Astyanax mexicanus: one gene and its partner. The protein of the gene in region 2 purifies or fractionates together with the protein of the main gene of each other region. This does not show direct contact. Links are inferred from orthologs where the notes say so. Each region holds a gene or a part of one and is shown on either strand. Other genes may lie near its edges.

Evidence for each region. The genes of interacting proteins can lie anywhere in the genome.
Region 1: the proteins of kifbp (region 2) and kif14 purify together in Homo sapiens (affinity purification with mass spectrometry; 3 studies listed by BioGRID and IntAct, counting the BioPlex papers as one, with this or other methods). This does not show direct contact. The link is inferred for Astyanax mexicanus from reciprocal best matches to the Homo sapiens genes KIFBP and KIF14.

What each region holds. Positions count from the first base shown.
Region 1 is NC_064423.1:20,759,729-20,766,985, forward strand, and holds the start of kif14 (kinesin-like protein KIF14), read left to right. Parts: upstream 1-4,213; 5' UTR 4,214-4,636; coding exon 4,637-5,616; intron 5,617-6,481; coding exon 6,482-6,736; intron 6,737-6,827; coding exon 6,828-6,915; intron 6,916-7,033; coding exon 7,034-7,132; intron 7,133-7,257. Other genes in the region: probable ATP-dependent RNA helicase DDX59, read left to right, coding at 1-13, 126-377, 1,342-1,494, 1,775-1,903, 2,408-2,671. UniProt on the Homo sapiens protein: Microtubule motor protein that binds to microtubules with high affinity through each tubulin heterodimer and has an ATPase activity. Plays a role in many processes like cell division, cytokinesis and also in cell proliferation and apoptosis.
Region 2 is NC_064414.1:42,927,168-42,935,015, forward strand, and holds the start of kifbp (KIF-binding protein), read right to left. Parts: upstream 3,037-7,848; 5' UTR 2,963-3,036; coding exon 2,525-2,962; intron 944-2,524; coding exon 845-943; intron 1-844. UniProt on the Homo sapiens protein: Activator of KIF1B plus-end-directed microtubule motor activity. Required for organization of axonal microtubules, and axonal outgrowth and maintenance during peripheral and central nervous system development.

The DNA.
Region 1 (7,257 bases), on a different chromosome or scaffold from region 2:
TGTTGTTGATGAGGTTCAGTTTTTCAAATTTGGTTTAATTTGTTTCTCCAATTGTTATTTATGTTTAAGTTTTGCTGCAACCTATGCATACAATCTTATGAAGTCTCAAATGTTGTTCATCGTAGGTAGACACCATGTTGAAGATGGGATTCCAGCAACAGGTACTTGAGATCTTGGAGCAAGTCCCTGATGATCATCAGACTTTGTTAACTTCAGCCACAATCCCTGTCGGGACAGACCAGCTAGCATCTCGTCTGACACAGGACCCAGTGCGCATCTCTATTGGTCAGAAGAACCAACCATGTGCTAATGTTCGCCAAATCGTTGTCTGGGTAGAAGAGCCATCAAAGAAAAAGAAACTTTTTGAGATTCTAAATGTAAGTAATGGAAAATCATTATATTCCACAAACACCTACTGCTGGTGTGCATCCATGTAGAATGATTTTTTTTTGTTTGTTTTTACATAAGCCCTTATGCTGTATATTATTACTTCTAAAATGTGATACATGAATTCCATTTAGTAAAACTGGGATTGAGTGTATTTAGACAGGTGCAAAAAATCTACCGTTATTTTAGAGAAAATGGGAGGGGTCACCTTTTATGGCACTGATCCAGGAAAAAGAGTAACTGCTCATACATTCCACACGAAACAGGGAGAAAAGAATGTCTCAACACTCATTTTATGCATCATCTCTTACCACCACACCCAAAATTTGCACATGGTATATTAATTTTAGACTGGCCAGTTTATCAATTGACTCTTGTCTTGGACTAAGCTGGTTTAAAATTTAATGTGAGCTTTAGTTTAATACAGGTCTGAGAATCAATCCAGCCCAATCAAAGATTAATAATCAACAATTCAATTAGTTGACATTATGAGTGTAAAAAAAAATAAATAATAAGAATGTGCCCCTATACAGGTATACTGTCTGTTTATTGGTTTCTGAACCTTTATTATAGAATTTGAACAATAAACAATGGTTACTATTCTGCACCAAATTAGCAGTACATTAGATTTTAACCTTTTTTACATTTAGTTCATTGTACAGTAGTGAACACACGTAAAACACTAGTAGTGAAACAATAAGAACATGTGGAGCTAACAAGAAAAATGCACTGCTCTTTTACTACCATTTTCTGTGGGGAATGATTTATTAATTCAGGGAATTAAACCAGAAACCTTCTGGTCCCAGGAACACTTATCTATAAGTATCCCAATCTGGGGTTTCTGGGCCCCATCACACAGTTAGCAAGTGCCTTGTTTATTAGGTCACTGCAACACAAAAGTCCACATGCAGAGTATTCTTGAGTATGTTAATAATTGATTTTCTTTTTTTACAGGACCAAAAACTCTACCAGCCACCAGTCGTAGTGTTTGTGGATTGCAAACTCGGAGCAGACCTTTTATGTGAAGCAGTGCAGAAGGTTATGGGCTTAAACGCAGTCGCTATTCACTCTGACAAGAAACAGTGGGAGCGCAATAGAATTCTAAAGGTAAGATTTTTTTGATTGTCACCAGAAATATTAATCGTTAAGAACCTCTGAATATCAATAGAAAATTTAAAGTTGAGTTAGTTAAATGAATGCCCATTCTTGAGCAGCTCATTCTTGTTTTTTTTTGTGATGAGTTTTTTATCTTTTAAAGGGTCTGTCACACACATGTCCCCATTAACTCTTTTGGTTTAAATGTTACCCAAAAACGTTGCTTGGATTATATATGTAATAAATACCTTCATTTTCAATGTAATTATTATAAAACTTTTGTATTTCTCAGGGTCTGCTTGAGGGTCAGTTTGAAGTTGTGGTCAGTACAGGTGTGCTGGGCAGAGGTCTGGACCTGGTCAATGTCAAGCTGGTGGTGAATTTTGACATGCCAGCTAACATGGATGAGTATGTTCATCAGGTACGATGTCCTAGATTCTAAAAACTGGTGATGACAGCTGGCATTGGAATGTGGTAGAGAGTGTACAGTTGTGCCTGTCACGATAATTACTATATCGAATTATCGTACAATATATGGTTATTGCCTCTATTGAATATTGGGTTTTTTGATACAAGGTATTCTTTGACTGTTTATAACGTTTTTTTTTTATGCTTTATTAATGTAGGATAATTTTGTTTGTTTTTATATTTCTTATCTTATGTCTAAATATTCTTAATAATTAAAAATGTATTTGCATTTTAATGATATTGTCCTTATATCAGTTATATCTTTAAAGTAACTATATTTTTTATGCAATTATTTCCTGAGCAATATTTTATTTAAACAGTCATTCAAATATCATTCACATCGTGACAACCCTAATTCAGTGTAAATTTGTTTGTTGAACATGTTTATTAAAGATTGTGGTCTGATTACTGTTTTAGTAACATGTTTGTTTGTTTTTTTTAATACCTGTGCTTACAGATTGGCAGAGCAGGAAGACTGGGGCACAGAGGAACAGCCATTACTTTCATGAACAACAACAATAAACGCTTGTTTCTGGACATAGTGAACCGAGTAAAACCCACAGGCTCACAGCTTCCCCCACAACTCCTCAACTCCCCACATCTACACGAGCAGCAGAGGAGGGCCAGACAAAGGAGTAATCATGGACAAGATGATGTTGTGACCAAAAATAACCTTCTTGACATTATTAGAAGGCATGACAGAAGCTGTGCTAAGAAGTGACATGGACTCTAAAGACACATTTGATACAGTTATCATTAAAACCATCTGCCTAAAATTGTATAGGTCAACATGGTACCACCAAAGCAGCTCTGACCTGATGAGGCATGGCTTTCACAAGACAACTGAAGACTACGGATTCTTTTTTATATATCTTGCGTAAGTCATTAGGTGAGACTTCCGTGAAGTGAACCATCAGTGAGCCTTGGGTTCACCCATTTTTCATCCCTGGATGTAAATACTTTTGTAGGTAGTGACCAAACTTGTTGATCAGAATGATTATGAAATGCCTGTAAATGTACTCAGTGTTATGACTGATCAGGGTAGGTTAACTGTTTTTTTATTGTTTTATCTTTATTTTCAATTAATAAATAGATGTTACAACTGAGCTTTCTGACTGTCCATTGTATTGGTGATCTGTAGCAGTAGCTTTAGACTGCTAATTGTTGACCAAGAGAAGAAGCATATGTTGGTACAAAGTATTGACTTAAACACACTCCAGCACCTTACAGCTGAACTCTTTCACCGGGAAGCTTTATGAATATGAGCCCTGGACACATTCAATTTATATATGTGTAAGAAGAACTGAGTTTGGGCTCTATCTTTTAAAACACCCTTATGCTATCTATTGTATCATATTGTCATGTACCAGAAACATTATTTGGTTTAAAATTTCTCAAATAGTTAAACATGTTTACATGACCATATAGTGTTCAAATCATTAAAAAAAATCCCTGTGAAATATCACTTATTATAAAAGGCCACAACACCTTACTTTTCTTGTATTTTTGACATTAAGCAGCAACATATAGTTACACATAAACGCCCAGTTTCCCAAAATCTCTGTAGAGACAGAGAGAATGTTTGTTTAATCAGTTGAGTGTTTAATGTGGTCTAAGTGGTTTTGTGTGAAACCCAAAATTCATTATACTTAACTTCAGTCGCTGTAAACAAATTGGTTATATATGGGTTTTTTTTTCTTTACTTTTTTATTGTTAATGTTGCCAATAAGATAAAAACTTTTGTTTTTAAGGAAGGCATACAGATACTACACAAAATAAAGTGTTTTCTTAATCATTCTGTACATTCTGTCTTTAAAGTACAAATAATAAATCGTAAGATAGAAAAATATATACATTTATTAAGGAATAACTATAAAACATGTTAAAACAAAACTTAAAAAAAAATCTATGCAGATATTAAGCATTATATAGCTCCCATTACCCGTTTTCAAATATCTAGCTACTGAAGGCAATACACAGAAATATTAATACAGCTATAATGTCCAAAGAAATGATTAAAAATACATAACAAATTAATGGGGCATGCAGCTGCAGTTAATTAAACACATTTAATATTTTTTTAAAAACTGATAAATAATATTTTTTTTTATATAAAGATCATCCCTAAAAGTCGCATTAAAGAAAAGCAGCGACATGGCGCCACCTGTCGATTAAACCCTGTCTCTGCAAGACCTGGGTGTGTGGGGATGTCTATGGGGAGGACCGTGTGTGTGACGCCATCGCGCTCAGCGGTCCAGTAAGATCAGACCGGTGTTTTTTGAATTGAAGCGGCAGGAAGGCGGAGAGTAGGCAGCGCTTACTTAGCGAGGAAAAGGTAAACAAAGAGTCACAGTAGTGAGAGAAATATTATTTATTCATACAGCAGGGGATATTTAGCTGTTTACTGTTCTGAGAACAGACTGCAAGGTTGTTAATAACAGAGTTCGCTAGTTAACGATTAGCCAGTTAGTTAATTAACGCTACTTAGCTAAAGTTAGCAAGCTAACGCTGGTTGAGTTCAACGTAGAAAACAACACCTCTGCTAGTAGTTAGCTAGCTAACGTAACGTTATGTAGCATGTATTAGCTAAGTTAGCTATGTTATGCTAACATATTAGCGTTAGGTCGTTTATGGGAGTTTAGCGTTAGGTTAACTCTTCACTTCAGCTTTTAAGTTAGAAAAGAAAATGGACGCGTTAAAAGGCGAAGAAACGTCATGTTCTCTTGACAAAAGTAACGTTAAAGAGATAAACAAAACCTATATTATATCCGCGCTAAACAAATCTACACCGAGGTCAAACGCGTCCAGCACCAGTTTCTCTGGAGCTCGGCTCACTCTCCAGAGGAGGAAAACAAACAGCAAAGGACCCGAGCTCTCCTCAGCCCTTCAAGACACCGAAAACCAGAGCGAACCGCACGGGAAACGGCTGACTCTACAGCGCAGGACCAGAGCAGGCTCTGTGGATAAGGGCACTCCGTCTGCAGACGAGAAAAAAAGAGCCTGGGTCAGCTCAGCAGTGCTGTCAGAGCCCAACAGTGCCCGCACCCCGGGCAGGTTAGCACTGCTGCGCTCTGCTTCTCTCAGAGACACGGAGTCTAAAAGAGCTCATAAAGACCTGCTACAACCCCCAAACACTCCCTGCACAACTGCAGCTACTGAGAAATCATCCACGCGTCCTGCTCAGACTGCTAAAGTAAATGCAGCTCACGACCAAGCCAAGGCAAGCTCAACTCCAACAGGAAAAACACAGTTCGAGAAGCTGAGTCTGAAGAAAGAGGTGTTTGAAAGACTGGCAACCAGAGATGTTCCAAAACCAGTGTCACTGAAGCAGCATCCTTGTGTGGACAGGTCAAAGCACTCAAGCACTGACTCTGGCAAACCCCAGGCTTCTTCTTCTAAGAAAGTACCTCTTATTAATAATCAATGCAAGAACCTTATGATGGCCGTCACTCCTCGATCAACGCAGGTGAGAAAAACCACAGCCCAGACAAGCTCCACAACACCCAGTGGAACCATGAGCTCAACCAAAGCCAGGCCTCCGTCCACAAGTGAAACACTTCTTTCCACTGAAGGGAAGCTTGTGAGTCAAGCTGCAACACATCCAGAACTGAAGATGGAGGACAGTGCAGTTACTGTTGCAGTGCGAGTCAGGCCTTTCAGTTCCAGGTAATAGAATTTACAGTATGTTGAATCATATTCATTGTATTTATTCAATTTTCATTCCCTTTTATGGGTGTCTTAATTCAAAAGGCTTAGATATAAGGACTGGACATTATGGCCGAATGTTATATAGCATGGTATATTTCTTATTTTCAGTCAAACTCTCAAGAATGCCCACAGCTAGACCTGTCATAATAACTATATATATTTTTCTATGATTAATTGTGGAAATAAATAAATAAATCATATTATTGCCATTTTATGCCACTGATATATCAGTAAAATATAATAACATAAAATGGCATTACACTTGCCTGTCACAATAAAATAATTTTGTGCACGATATATCAGCCATTACATGACTGGCTAATTTTTTTTTACAGTTATATGTGAACAAACATACAAATAAACACAATATACAAATATTATTGAGGTCATCTCATGTTTGAGACTTGTATTTTTCTTTGATAATTCGTATTAAATGTCATTCTTTATATTTAGTATCCTTGAGATCAGAATATCTAGACTAGCTAAAATACAGATGACATTCATTATTAAAACCATGTATGCAAGTAAACACAGTGGACAAAATTAAGATCATCAAAAATGAGTGTGGTCACATCCATTTTATCGTGTTATAATTTAATAATGCAATTATTGTGACAGGCTTACCCAAAATTAATGTCTGTACCTACAAATTTGAAATATCGTTAATGTATTTACAAGCATATTACTTTTATTGAAACATTTTCTATCACAATATACAGTATATAGATTTTATTTTTATACATTCATATTTAGATGTTATTAATAGCACCTTTTCAGCTGGATAAACTCATCTTCTCCTTTTTCGTTTCTTTCATTCCACCAGGGAAAAGGGTGAGAACAGCTGCCAAGTAATTTTCATGGATAATCAGGAGACGGTGGTTCAGCATCCAGATACTAAGCAGACCTACACGTTCGCATTTGACTTCTCTTTTTGCTCACTTGATGAAATGGACCCACGTTTTGCAAGTCAGCAAACTGTTTATGAGAATTTGGCAAAACCTCTTCTTGAAAGAGCTTTTGAAGGCTTTAACACTTGCCTGTTTGCTTATGGGCAGACTGGTTCTGGAAAATCATACACGTAAGTACTGTAGTTTACGGTTTTTAGAAATGTACAACATTGTTGACAATGATGGAAGCAGTTTTTTTAATTGTTCTGACATTTCTTCCAGTATGATGGGTTTTGGGGAAGAGGCTGGAATCATACCGAGGTTCTGTGAGGAACTTTTCTTAAGGTTGTCAAGAGCCGACAGTAAGGAGGTGAGCTGTCCAAAGTACAATGTCCCAGTCCTAGGTTGAAGGCAGTATCTCATCTAAAACTGTACATTAACTATTTATGACATCATTGTGTTTAGACCTGTGTGTATATTTTTTACAGGACACTTGTCATCTAGAGATGAGCTACTTTGAGGTGTACAATGAGAAGATTCATGATTTGCTTGTAGCCAAGGATGAACAAAACCAAAAGAAGATGCCTGTGAGTAGAACAAGAATATAATGTTGAATTTCTGTGGCTTAGTGTCATCCATCATAGCCAGCAGAACATGCCTTTTTTCGTCTCAAATGCCAATTTGACATTTTTGAAGTGGATACACCTGTGTA
Region 2 (7,848 bases):
ACCAAATAGTTGTGTGCCATATTGTATCGTACGCAATAATATCACCAACATTTTTGAATATTGCAAACAATATTATGCCCTGAAATATTGTGCCATATCACTCCTATTGATCACATCAGGGTACAACTTTTTTTGCTGTTTGTAGCAAAATAAAAAAATCACGCTTCTTGCGTTTTCCATTATATATCTACAAGAAACAGACTATATCTGTCTAGTATAATTAATTTTTCATTTAGTCCTGGATTTATGTAGTATCATAATATTCTGGATCATTGACTTCTGTTACAAATCTGATACAATTCTTGTATTTTTTAATATCTCAGTTAAGGGTGTGCCATATCACACTGTACGCAATAATAAAATTATTTTTTTATTTTGTTGCATTAGTGTATTTGTTTTTTTATTCAGCTTTTTGTCATATCTCCAAGAGTATCGTTTCATGAAAATGCCATATCGTGACTATCGAATAATATAACTATTGTGATATTATTTTAGGGCCATATCGCCCACCCCTATAACCAAATATAATGAAAATCAAATGCAGCATACTATATGCTGGTTAAGAGCTGGTTAACCAGCTAGATTTCCAGCAAAGTGTATGTTTCATCTGGACGAACAGCTTTTCAACTACCTTGAGCTTCCAAAAGTAGCTAGTCCTGAGCTGGATATTCCCGCAGTGTCATGGTATGACTATGTTAGCCTGCTCAGAACATCTCAATCTGTTAGTTAATATTGCTATCCCCTTACACTACACAAACTGGGTGTAAACATTGTGTATGCGAATAAGTGAAGACATCTTCCACGTTTTATTGTGGGTGATTAATAAAATAAAGATCTGCATCACCTCTTTCATGTAGTTTACATAAATGGATTCTGCTGTTTCCAAGAATCCTTGAGCTTTCTCAGTTTCATCTCTTCCAGCCCACAAGATCCCAAGCTGGTTCTGTTGAGGAAAGACAAAGAGTCAGGTTACACATAGGCCTGTCACAATAATTCTAGGTATTAACTTTTTAAACAATATATTTGCTTTGAAATATACATTTACTTAGAGAGGAGAGCTGATATGGGCCATACTATGGTATTTTATCATACTGTGAAAAATCATATCAGAAATATCATCAATGCTTAAAGGTCACCTTCCGTCGTTTTTTCTTTCATTTTAAAATGTCTAGTTGTGGTCTCTAGTATGAATGAATGACATGTGAGCCGTTTTTGTAAAAAAAAAGTGCTCAGGTGTCTCTGTATAGCTCTTTTTTAAAGGACTGTTTTAGGGGTGTGTCCAAAATGACCGGATTCCAGCTTTGCTCATGAATATTCATACATGCAAACAGCATGCAAATATCTCTCCTCTGATTGGCTAGGAGCACTGCGACGCCCCTCCACCGCTCTGCCGCTCACTGCCTCCCACCTCCTAACTGATGAGCGGTGATGTTGCGTCGCTTCAGCTCCGCCTCTGGGAGTTTCTCGAGCCAAGGTGGGCTGGTCTGTGAGTTTCTGCCTACGTAGGCAGAAAGATAATTCAAAATTCACCCGTTTTTCGGAGGGGGGGAGGGGGGACTTCTTTGCTTAGCTCCTGCAGACAATGGGGGCTGCAAAACAGTTTAATGTGCAGGTGTACACATTCAACTCGGAGAGACCTACTGTATTCCACAAAAAACAAGAAAAATCGGATTTTCGCGGAAGGTGACCTTTAAAGAACACTGACCCAACTATATAAGAGAGTGTAATTGGGTAGCAGTTTGTAAGGAATTTGCTACTGCATTGCAATTAGGGATGCATCAATACTGATACTGGTATCAGAATAGAAAAGCATACTTTCTTCATTTCTTTAAAAAATGCTAATGTATATAATGTGACTCAAAATATATCTCAAAATTAACAAATGAACTGTTGCATTGCACTACTTTACACTAAAACCTACACAGTTAAATAATGCTCCTGGTATGGGCGAATACACAAATACATGAACTCGTACTCTTACGCAGTTGGGAAAAAAAAGTATTGATGCATCCCTGATTGCAATAAATATTGTGCACTGTGAAAATGTCTTTAAACACTGTGATACAATAGTTTTACAGTATCACCTAGTTTTAGAGCAGAGTCACAAAAAAGTGGGATTTTTTTTTCATTTATTTAAGATATTAAAAATGGCTGAGGAATATTGTCAAAATATTGCATCAAAAAATCTTTATAATACATGGTCTTAATTGCAATATTTTTACATCACACATAGATAGAAAACATGCATCAGTAGTGATAGTCTGAACAACAACTGTTGGTAAAATAATCTCATTTAGTACACATTTAGTTCAGTGATTTGTGTTCAGAATGTGCTGCTGTACTCCATCCAGTTACATTATTTGTAATAAAATGTGTAGCATATTTTTCTTAGACTGACATTATACAGAATATGCTCAGAAATGTAACTACAAATCATGTGCATCATGATAATAACACCTTAGTGATATTTCTGTGATATATTCGGGATGTATGAGTGATGAATTTGTGTACACTGTGTTTTTACCCTGGCCTGGATGAACAGAGAGACGTTCTCCGGGGTCACTGTGCATTTCTCCAGCAGCTTCATGCAGTTCATCAGATGCTCCTCACCGGCTGAGAGCTCCTCGGTCTCGGTGTGGTTCACGCCCAGGTAGTACTCGATGACCGCGAGCTTGGCGGCTCTGAGGCCGGCCCGCGAGTCTCCCGGCACGGATCTCCCGGCTCCACACTCCGCCTCCTCGGAGCCGCTCTGCTCGCCCTGCCCGTCCGCCTCGCCGTCGCTCTCCTCCGCCTCCACGCTCTTCAGCGCGCAGTAAATGTCTTTTAACAGCTCCCGGGCTTCGTATTTGGAGCGGAACGGGTCGTTCTCCGGATCTTTTCTGGACTCCACCTCGGAAAGGTGGTTCGCCCGCCCGAATTTCTCGCACACCGCCCTCCATTCACGACTGCTGGTGGACGCCATGTTTGTTTTCTGAGGAGAAGAAGCAGAGCCTCTCCCTTCAGTTCAGCTCAGCGATCCCACCAGCAGAGGCCAGCAGCGGCCAGAGCCGCTGGATTTCAGCTTAGTATACACAGTGCCTCAACACAGCCCCTAAAGTGACATCAAGTAAAAAAAAAAAAAAAAAAAAAGCCTGGCCACGACTTATTAACGCGTGGGAACGAGATAATTAATAGTGGGACGGCTTATATGTTCCCACGCTTTAATAAGCAGCCCCCACAACTTAATTATCTTTGAGCCCCTAGGGTGACATCACAAAAAAATATGCAGCCACAACCTAACCCTTTCAGGCTTAAATTATTATGTTTCAATAATGGAAACATATAACAATGCTCTTTTCTGTCTGTAATATATGGAGCCACTAAGGTGACATCATTTAAAAAAAATAATGCATGGCCATACTTTATTAAGGCGTGGGAACAAGATCCTTAGGCGTGGGAACAAGATCCTAATGCATGGGAATGAGATAATTAAGGTGTTGGGGCAGCTTATATGTTCCCACGTTTTAATAAGTCGCCCCCACAACTTAATTATCTCTGAGCCCCTAAGGTGACATCATGTAAAAAATAAAAATAATGCGTGGCCACACTTTAATAAGGCGTGGGAACAAGATCCTAAGGCCTTTATTTCCATAGGCATTTATTTACAGAAAAGTAAGCTTTATTACTCTCCAGCTAGATTTAATTAACTTGTTCCTACGCCTTAATAAGTCGTGGCCACACCTTAATGACCTCATTCCCACGCCTTAATTATCTTGTTCCCACGCATTAGGATCTCGTTCCCATGCCTTAATAAGTCGTGGCTGCTAAAATTTTTTTTTTTTTAGCATGATGTCACCTTAGGGGCTCTGTAGTACTAATAAGTTGCCCCACAACTTAATTTTCTCATTTCCACGTTTTAATAAGTCACCCTATGACTTAATTATTATATCTTGTATCCATGCCTTAATAAGTCATCCCCATGCATTTTTTTTACATAATGTCACCTTAAGGGCTCTATACCCAGCAAATTTCTTATGTTGGTTCCCCCTCTCATCCACCCACACTTTTTATTAATGGAATTCATTATCTTGATTTAAAAATGCTTGAACAAATCCATGGGGTCCACTTTAACAAACCCACTTAATTTTATAGAAATAATATCATGCTTTTGTTTGATCTGCAAGAAGCATCCAAACTGAGAACTAAATTCAATAAATAACCCAAATACAACCCCAAAACAAAAGAAATTCACAATAAAATAATGAATAAAACTTTTATAAAAGTATGGGTCTTATCTTACACTCTGTGCTAGTTGCATCACAATGCTCATTGCTATCTTGCACTATGCCAACAGTCAATTTTTACACCTTCCACCTGTGTGGTTTAAATTGTGCCCGTGCTTGCAAATAGATCTTTAAATTGAAGTGTGTTCAGGTAAATTTATGTTTATATGCTCAGCTGTAGTGGAAAGTGACTGCACAATCAGTAGACACGCATCAGTACATGCAGTGTTCACACAAGCGTCAAGTACAGTAGATCTCAGGTCTTACCAGAAGCCACTGAATTTACGCTTCTGAATGGCGGGTATTTCTGTACTCTATCTTCCTTCAGAAGTAAAAATAATTTCCTGTCTGAAAAAGTTCTGTGCTGTAAAAGGCAAATCATCACACCATTTAAAACGCTCAATAATTAGCTCTAAATAATAATAATAAGACTCTTTCCTTCATATTTGTATATTTTTAAGCACATCTTTCACAATACTTTGGTGTACTTGCACATTGGAGCTACCACCTATCATCTACTTCTCTCTATCATCTACTTCTATCTATCTATCTATCTATCTATCTATCTATCTATCTATCTATCTATATATATATATATATATATATATATATATATATATATATATATGATGCACCAGACAAGCCACAAATTGACTGAAGTGCATCAGCACCTGTCTTAAAATAAACACCCACATCCTCTCACGTCATCAGTGCTATGGGGGCATGTTTGACAACCATAAGTGCACAAGAGCATTATTAACTACTTAGTCTGTTGGGTTAGTAATGTATTATTTGCCAAAAGGTCAGAATTTCACTTTTTTTTCTTTTCTTTCAGTAGTTTTACGCAAAGTACTGTTTATCGGCTAAATTTAAAGTCAGGTTTAAAAATAGTGTAAACTTCAGTGTGAACTTTATTATTTATTTTTTCCCATTTGGTAAGGTGAAGAAATGGACTTTCATCCATTTTTACATTTTTCTATTTTTGCATAATAAGAATGTCAGGGAATATTCAGATGTTTCCATTTTTGCATCTTGTAAAAATCTAATGGTATAATTCAATCTATTTTTTTAAGCAGACATGAAAAACGAGACAATTGGACAAAATGTTTTTTCTTCACTATGCAGTTGTCTACACACCACATGCTTCTGTTTCGGACACAGTGTCTCATGTTGCCTCACACTGATATTCAACTTTAAAATAAACCGTGGATGAACCATGCCGCACTCATTAACAGTTAAACTATCCAGGGTTCTAGAGGACAACTGAAGAACATAACTCTTTCTCTCATTTTAATAAATGTATAATAAAAGCAAAATAAATTAATACTGTAATTGAATATTTTAATCAATCTGAACAACGGTTTGTGCTGATTATAAAAATATAATGAAATTTTAGTGTTGACTAAGTGCTTGGGTCAGAAACGCTGTGGGAGAGGGGTAATGGGCTCATTTACACAGTTTACACTCCATTTGGTTTGTGTCTCTAAATGTCCAAACACAAGAGATTACATATTTACTCACAAAATTTCAGCACTTCACTTTTAATCATTTTCTGGATATTTAACAGACTTTTAAATCCTACATTCAGGGATTAACAGAATGGCAGAAATTATTGTTGTCTAATCCACTAATGAAAAACATAATCATCAGATTTGTCGACCACCAAAATAGTCATTTATTGCAGCTCTTTATCTAATGTAGGCTTTTCTGTTTTGTAGGATTTTTCAGATACAGAAAATGACTAAGGTATCCTATGAAAACTTTGTAGTGTATTGAAGGGTGTGATTGGAGATAACCACACCTTCACACTCTTATTCTTAAATGTTTTATACATGTATATATACAGTTATTATTTTTACTGTTCACTTTATAATTCACTTAATAACCTTATGATCTCTGCTCTCTTTTTAACTGTCACTATGACAAGGCTTTGGAGGTTGTTTTTACTTTTTCAGGAATCAGGAAGGTCAGAGTGTTTTCATCAACAATGAGAGCTGTGAGGAGAACGTGACCCTGAGTGGCAGAGAAGCTTCACTACTGTTCTGGGACCAGTGCATATGAACTAGGAGACAACAAGCTATCTGAGTGAAGTGCTGAGGACCTCTCCTCAGATAGCCAGCGCTTGCCTGTTCTACACGCCGTAAAGTCGTACACAGGGCAGAAGATCTTTCCATCCACTCTTTTCCTCTGTTTCATCTTCTCACAGACTTTAGGACACTTAAGGACTGTCTGCTGTGTTCATGAAGGACACAGTGCTGAACAACATCATGATAAGAACCTGTTGCTCAGACAGGCTGGAGCGGATCACGTCATTAAAACTGGACAACATGCTGTTAACTGGACTCTGCTGACACAATCATAGTGATAAGTTCTGTCCAATCACATGTCATTTGCAAAATGTATAACTGCTTGGATGAAGTCTGAGGAGTTCTCTCTGGCCCTCGACTGGCTTTAGTTTCTTTCTCTTTCTTTCTCTCTCTCTCTCTCTTTCTTTCTCTCTCTCTCACTTTCTTTCTCTCTCTCTCTTTCTCTCTCTGGGTTGCGAATGTGTTGATCTATCGAGATTTTATTCGTTGATGTACTTTTACTCTTTTCTAATATATATCTTTTAATTTTTGTTCCTTTTATATATCTGTAATGCTGAAACTATTTTTCAAGTAAACTTTAATATATTTTAAATTCTAAGCTCTGACTCATTGGTCATCATTTCATGTTCTGAGATTTCTCACATCCGAGTTTTATCTAAGTCATACTGTGGTAAATTACCCTACAGTATAAGTTAAGATATGCAAAATATTCGGCCATTACATTGTTACCACCTTGCTAATGTTAGTAGGTCCCTCATGTGTCACCACATTAAATTTAGACATTTGTGTCATGGTCTCACAGTCAAGTTGTTTGAAGGTTTATTTTGTTGTTTTTTGTATCTGTCACCAAGACATTATTGCAGCAGATCTTTCCTGTAATTGTGGTTTAGTGGTTTCCTTTCTTGGACCATGTTTTGTAGCTACTGACCATTACCTGCCAGAAAAGGCCCACAAGGTCTGCTTGTTGTTTTTTTTTTCAGATATTCTGACCTAGCTGTTTAGCCATCACAATTAATTATCTCTTGTCAAATTAGACTCAATAAGATTCTTAGATTTTTATGCTTGCCCATTTTTCCTGCTTTCAAGACAACTTCAAAAACTGACTGTACTGCCTAAAACTTCAATCTCTTGACAGATGCCACTGTAGATGAAGAATGTATAATTTAACTGCACCTGTCAGTGGTTATGGCTGATCGGCCCTGTTAAAATACACATATGTTTTTTCCTTATTTTGTTTGGCAGTAGTATAATATGTGGATAAGTGACAATGAGCCCATGAATAATGTAAAACTCACTGTGCATTTCTAGGATGTTTAGGCCCTCTCTGCTCATTTTAAACAAATGTCATATAAGGAATGATTTATATTTAACCAACTGTAATACATAAGTGTAAACATTGATTTAGCAGATAAGAAGCCTATAAACTATTGTTTTAGATATCAGAAAATAGGAAACTGCATTCTACATGAACTGGTTTGATACAAATAACCAAAGCAGGA